Linked DNA regions of Schizosaccharomyces pombe. Changing the gene in region 2 together with the main gene of any one other region gives a genetic interaction. Each region holds a gene or a part of one and is shown on either strand. Other genes may lie near its edges.

Evidence for each region.
Region 1: of psf1 (region 2) and psf3, extra expression of one rescues a mutant of the other (dosage rescue), as found in Schizosaccharomyces pombe (one study listed by BioGRID).

The regions. Positions count from the first base shown.
Region 1 is NC_003424.3:527,220-530,905, reverse strand, and holds psf3 (GINS complex subunit Psf3), read left to right. Parts: upstream 1-2,029; 5' UTR 2,030-2,134; coding exon 2,135-2,233; intron 2,234-2,280; coding exon 2,281-2,339; intron 2,340-2,364; exon of another isoform or gene 2,365-2,445; coding exon 2,446-2,580; exon of another isoform or gene 2,581-2,636; coding exon 2,637-2,782; exon of another isoform or gene 2,783-2,841; coding exon 2,842-2,903; 3' UTR 2,904-3,124; downstream 3,125-3,686. Other genes in the region: saccharopine dehydrogenase Lys3, read right to left, coding at 1-384; SPOM_SPAC227.17C (uncharacterized protein), read left to right, coding at 740-1,105. UniProt on the Schizosaccharomyces pombe protein: The GINS complex plays an essential role in the initiation of DNA replication.
Region 2 is NC_003423.3:2,013,263-2,016,796, reverse strand, and holds psf1 (GINS complex subunit Psf1), read right to left. Parts: upstream 1,436-3,534; 5' UTR 1,298-1,435; coding exon 689-1,297; 3' UTR 501-688; downstream 1-500. Other genes in the region: serine/threonine protein kinase Ppk32, read right to left, coding at 1-227, 378-402; alp5 (Ino80, NuA4 and Swr1 complex actin-like protein Arp4), read right to left, coding at 2,434-3,534. UniProt on the Schizosaccharomyces pombe protein: The GINS complex plays an essential role in the initiation of DNA replication.

The DNA.
Region 1 (3,686 bases), on a different chromosome or scaffold from region 2:
ATTGTCATCTTGCAAAAATTCCAAATCATATAGAAGACCATTGCCAGCGGGGAATCGGGACAAGACTTCACGCCAACCTTCCTGGTTTTTGTAGCAATGAGCAAATTGAATATGAGTATGCTTCAAAGGACTGTTATCATTTTCCGGAAGCTCTTTGAGACCAATAATGTACGCGTCCTTAGGTGCATGTCGCCATGAGCCCTCAGGAACCATGGGGAAACCAAGGCGCTCAAATTCTTTGTCCTTGAAAGCACGTTGGGAAGAGCGCTCAATGGTAATTTGAAATCCAGCATCGGCGAGTATCTTGGCAGTTCTAGGAGTCAAAGCACTGCGCTCTTCTAAAGGTTTGGTTTCAGCACGTAACCAAAGATGAGGAGCAACCATTTTGGAACAGAAAATTAATTAAATATATATTTTTAAATCGAAAAAGTATTTCAACGTTTTTAAAAACTTCCCTTTCTAAGTTAGTCAAAAAAATTTAAACTAACAAAATGAAGACGTGGCGAAGGAGACCAAAAACTTAATCAAATAAGTTTATATACTGCAAATTGGCAAAATAATATAGATCAATCTCGATATAAATGAGATCAAATTTGATGCGGTCAATTTACAGATCAGCAATGATATGAGCAGAAGGGATCTTGATGGATCTAATACGCTACACAGGTTCAGTGGCAGTCACGTTAGCTACCTATCCTAGGCACAATTCACTTGATTTTTACTAGTATGCTTTTAAATAATGAATAATTTTAAAGAAAATGATGAAAAAAGCACTTTTGGTCAGTATGCGGAACTAGATAAAATACTCGACTTGAAAAAAGGGATTCCTGAGGATCCGTGTAGTTTACAGTATTACTTTGACCAAATGGCCATGTGTTTAACAGTGTTCTCACAAATGAATCATTACTATCGTTATGGTGAATACAACAGATGTAAGGGAAATTTTAAAGACTTTAAATGGTGTCTGTCAACCAAGTCGAAGGCTCACGAAGAGGCTCAAGAAGGGCTTCGTAAGCGGCGTCTTCAGCAGTGGATGAAGTTTAGGCAAGGGCCGAATAGTGAAGACATTTGGAAGATGCGTACTTCTCCAAAAAGTAGTGAATAAGTTTTTAACGTTTCGTGCTGTGTTCACCAAACGTCGATATCAATTCTTACGAAGGCATCCATTTGTTGCGTATAACATTGGGGGAATAGCATATTTGATGATGTCTTGGATGTAAAGTTCCTGTATATCCTAGTCTGCTTAACCTTTGAAACTAATTGTTTATAGTTGGCGGGGTACTTCTATTTAATTTACCTTCCAAGTAAACTCTGAGTTCTCTTTAATTTTATGAGTAACTAATTAAACGAACAACAAATTGTTGCTTTGATTTTACAACATTGTTTGGCAGCAGGTTGATTATTTACTCAGGTAAAGATTGCTGATAAACTCGAAGGTGTTGACATCTAAAGTATGGATTAAAGCGTATATGACTTGATGAACCTGTTGATGAAACTTGGCGAATAACTTATGAAATTTGGCCTATGTCGGTGTTAAAACCTTTTTGCATTTGGAAATGACATACTAAATAATTAATACGCAAAATAATTTTGAATACAATGCAATCATGTTTTGTAGATTACGGACTAAAAATCATTTAAAAAAATCAGTTTTACGGAAAGATTGTGTAAATTTTGATCGCATAATGAGCAAGTTTCATAAATAGGTATAACATTCAAACAAGCATATGCGTTTCTTTAATGAAACTATAGAACAAAGTTTCCTTTTTTTAATAAAATTTTTCGACCAATTTCAGAAGGACGAATATACACATGTATGACATACTTTTCGAGTTAAACATTGAAGCAAATTTTTAGTACTCGAACATACAATATTTATCAGCACTAATTTTTTGAACTAGATGCTCTGTTAAGAAAAGTAAAAATAAATCTTTTTTATCTCTATTTTTTTTGTTGATTAGTACTGGTGTAATTACAGTTCATTATTTATCCACTATATCTTAGCCAACTCAAATTTGAATTTATCGTTGCATCTACCTACTTTTACCTTGTAACTGCAACTTTTCTAAATGAACATATTTTGATAAAATAACAATAACACTTCTATCATTCCTTCTGCTCAGACATTAAAAAAATGGATTACTATGATATTGATAGTATCTTGTCTGAAAATCAAAAGGTTCCATGTACTAGTACAGTTTCCATTCCAGGACTAGGCCATGAAGGGCGTATGGTTAGTGAAGTTTATAAAAATAGAACTTGACTTTCTAAACAGTTTAGGTTCCTACGGGCTCTAAAGTTGAACTTCCTTTTTGGCTGGCAGAGGTTTTAGCAATTAAGTAAGTAAAGTTTTTTTTTTTTTTTGGTTTTTTCTGCATGTTACATTATATACATGTAATGTCTTATAGAAAATTGGATAATTTTGCTTATTTGCTTACTTTATAGTTCTTTTGTTAGTATTCATATGCCAGCACCATTTTCTTCTGTAGTACGAAATGCATTAAAGGCGAATCCTAATAGTGTATCTATTCGGGACATAACCACACATTATTACCATTTTGCCGAGAAAATGCTCCATTTGTAAGTCAAACTTTACACGTTTTTCTCAAATTCAAAATCTTACTAACTCATTGTAGAATATCAGACGACAGCTTGGTTCAAATTTCCCTAAACACTTTACGTTCCAGAGCAATGCTGATTGCAGATGCGTCCCTGAATCCTCAAGGTGCTTTACAACAAAACTCACAATTCATTGAGGGTTTGGATGACTTTGAGAAACACAGTATGTTCATTCTAGCCTTTAAAAGATTCAGTAGCTAACAAAAGCTCGTGCTGCCACAGTATTGAGAGTATCACATAATGCCCATCGATCCCTAATAAACTGGCAAAATTCCACTTCGTAGTTGATTGCATGCTGCGAGACGAAATTGCTACCCAGAATAGCACGCTAATCTATATGTGAAACACTAAATGAGTGTTGATCGTAAATCCCTTCTGTTCAAAGAAAAAAGAAAAGAATCCTTAACATATACTTGTTCAATATTACGTTTACTTACAAAATTAGCTTTTGTTTGTCAGATTGACATTTTCATTTATGATTAACTTTATAAAAACTCTAGAAGATTCAAACTATAGAACTAAAAAATGTTAATAAACGAACCGACACTAAAAATTAGAGGTCGATATATAAAGTACATTCAGAAAAAGCGCCTTGTCACAGGCAATCTTCGTCAATGTAGAAACTACGTAGACCGTCGTGATTAAAGTAAAAACATCATGTGAACTAAAATTCGACCTCAAGCTGATCTACTTACCTATACAAAACAGCCTCCTTAACTTCAGTGTATCTAACTAGTTTAAGGTCTTGCAAATACGTTAGAAAAGTTGTTTTAACACGAAAACTTAGGACATGGAAATATATAACTTTAGGTTGTCTATAATCAGACGCATTTCACTTCTTCAAAACCAATGGCATCAGACATATGCTTGTCTTTGAAATTTAATAAATCATCCTAATAATACCCTAAAGTACATATTTGAAGTCTAGTTTTCAATTAAGTTTTGGATACCTTTCATGAATAACCTATAATTATGTTAGTAAAATATTGGCATAGATTTAGGTTAAAAATTTGTTCTCTCAGTTAGCATGAATGGAATTTTAAGAGTCTTTTCTTCATATTGAATCA
Region 2 (3,534 bases):
AGAAGACACATCTTTTCTTAAAAGCTCTAAGACATAGTTTGTTTTCAAATTGGAGTCAATAGACCCGCGTTTTAGTAAGGTGGACAAATTCTTTTTATCAAATGTAAACACTGAAACCTCTTCGTTGGTTCCCTTTTTGGATGCCGAATAAACAGTCCAAGGACCTACTTGGACTGAATTTTCTTTCTGGATATCATAATCATATTTAATTTTTTTGGAATTTGATACTAAACATTCAACGTTAGAATACTTACTTGGGATACGAAATGTATCTAAATAGATTATAGAAATGACGATGAGGATGATCAATTACATAAACATAACTACAATCTTTCATACAGCGCTGATAATCGAGTTTATCAAGGAATATAGCATACCTAGTCGAAGTGCATTGGCTAACATAAGCTGAAAAAGTGGATGGCTTTGGAAAAAAACAACTTAAAACAACAAAAACAAAAAGAAAAAATTATAATTATTTTTGAATCCCTTCGAAGCAAACCAAGTATAAAAATTGAACACCTTTTTTTCGCGGTAGTATACAGTGGAGATGGTAGGAATGAATGGCTTATGGATGAAATTTTTAGGGTCAGTTCAAAAAGCAGTGAAACTCTTATTTGGGAAACAGAGGATTAAATAAAAAGACAATTAATTAAAGATTATAAGAAAGTCGTATTTTTTAGTTTGATAATCATAACTTAGCCAAAAAACCTTGGGCAATGAGTCGTTCAACGTCTGTAGCACGCACATGCAATTGTGAATTTTTAGTAAGGTTAATAGTACCATATTCAGTTTCAATATCTCCAACGTCCTTCAAAACTCGGACGTCTATGAACAAATTTTTAGGAGGAACCAAAGAACCAGTCAAATCCAGCTCGGACCAAGCGCCTTTATAAGCAGCCAAAAGTTCTGAATATCTCGTTAAATAGTCACGCTCATAAGTACTTAGAGATGTATCTAAACAAGATTCCATTCGTTTGCCTCCGCTCCAACAGTATTGACGAAGCCGCTGCAGCCTTAAATTATGGTAAGCCATTAAACATCGCTTATTGTAGATACTAGAAGAATGAAACATCAATAGAGCTGCCGCTTCAGAAGGATGGTCCTGGGGCTGGAAAGGTTGACTAGCCTCATGTGTAACATTTTGAAGAATTCCTAGACTTTCGCGATCTGCTGCACGAATTTCGTTGACAACATCATTAACGGTGTCCGCTTGGTAAGGTGGGAGATAATCTAAATACTGAGTTCGCTTTGAGTCCCGAATTAATTTATTTGATCGATTCCCCAAACCATTCTCCATAGTGATTAGAAGCACTAACTATCACGATATGCTTAAACAGATTTTCCTAATTATGTTTAGTTTAAAAGAAACGGATTAGTATAATTAACAACGACACTCGATAGTTGTTTAAAGCTATATTGAATGGTTGTGGATGACAAGTCGTTGGAAAATGACATGTCTTTCATAAGACCATAATGATGCATTCCTTAGTAGAAATTTTACTGTAAATAAAACATGGATCTTTTATAACAAAATTATTAGTTGAACCTACTATGCGAATTTTTAAGAATTTATTATTTAAACATTCACACAGATTTAAAATGAAGCGTATACTTACTTGGATTACCTCAGTTTCATAAAGTAATGTATACTAATTCAAAGGATTGAATGAGCCCTAAAGGTATCATTAAACCGAGTTCCTCACATCGTCACACATGGAATGAAGAGATGATTTAACGAAGCTTCAAATTATCAACTTACAAATCATTGCTACTAAAATTATAGAAACCAGATAAAGTTTCATTTCAAAATAAAAGAAAGGATATCATTCAATGATTACAATTCTCACGTAATATTCAGAACACAGTACGATGTGCTTGCTTCATCGGACAGGGCTTTAAGGGAATAAAACAATCACATTGATGAGAAATTAGAATCTAAAGGGGTACAATTTAAAACCTATCACTCATATCCAAAAAATGGCAAGGCATATTTAGCTTCAAATAATTGAGCTTTAATGTAGCTTAAAATGATTTTGTCAGTAAGACTTTCTTTTCTGCTTACAACATAAAATCCAATCGATGTATTGGCCGTACTCAAAAAAATCCGCTTTATGTATAATCTGCGGAAGATTACACAAATTCAATAGCATGAATATCACAAAGAGCCAACGAACCAGTCCAGAGTAACAATCTGTTACAAAAACAAAACTTTTGATGCTTATTGATGATAGCAAAATACATGATCCAATATTTTCTCTTCAAATGATAGGTATAAGGACAGGGAAAGAGTCTCATACGTAAAGTAATAATATCTCAATTATTTTTTATTTCAAACGAAAGTTTCCCCTTTTTTTCCACTTAAGGAAAATTCCCTAAAATCCAACGACTTTTAATTAAAGGTTCATTAGAGATTAGTAATTATCATTACACGTATTATTTACATCGTTTTTCGATTAAAGCCAAACGATCAGAACCATGTTCTTCATATTCTTGACGTGATATCCATAATTGATGAAACGTTCCAAGACTACTTAAAATAGATCCACCTAACCATGAAGCATAACTGCGTTCAACAACATGACCGGAAGCATGGATTTTAAGACGGCTGCCAGGATATAATTTTGAAAGTTCATTTTGCAGACGAAGAGAGAATCCTTGCATCAAACTAGTGCCTCCACAAACAATAACATTGTTGAGCAAAGAAGCACGGATATCAACATCGCATTCCGAAATACAGTTCTGGAACAACTGAGGTATCCCCAAAATGCGAGAAGAAGTGTTGGTAACCGAAGAATCTTGTTGTGATACCTCATTATTTTCGGTTTGTTCTATTGGCTTCGAAGGTTCCTCGTTCATTTCTTCATCACTTCCTGGCACAAACAAATGTTCAGGAATTTGATAGCGTTCCGCGCCAAACATCATACGGGAACCGTCTGGAAATTCGAACTCTGATTCAGCAATCGTGGTTTCAGATGAAAATGGAACATCGGAAATGAGAGCACATTCTTCTTTCCATTCATCGTAGACTCGCTGGACCTGAAATTGATGATAAGAATCTGTAGTATCACGAGGACGTAACTCACAATTAGCTGGCTGCCCTATCTCCACTGGATTTTTGCTTTTCACTAAGTACTTAGGCATCACTTCGAAATTCTTATCCCTGAGAGTTTGCGCCAAAATATCGTTAATTGCATTCCCAGAAAAATGTTGAACCTGATAGCCTTTTTGAAGCACAAAACCATCATATATAGCAGACACCGAGCTACGCTCCGCACCAATGTCTACTAAACAAGCAGTACCTTTCCCGCTTGCAAACGCCGCACACGTCTCCTGCTTGGCGAGGTATGTTGCAGGACAACGCAAAGATTCAAACATCGTTTCTAGTGTTTTCACTCGATTTTCTGGGGGATTATCAAATGGTTCCGTAATCAAGATTGGATGCTCTAAAGGATTAGTCTTCAACTGCTGCTCTAATCCATAACGCCAGAGATCTACAGTAACATCCCAATTTTCAACCCAACCATTACGAATTGC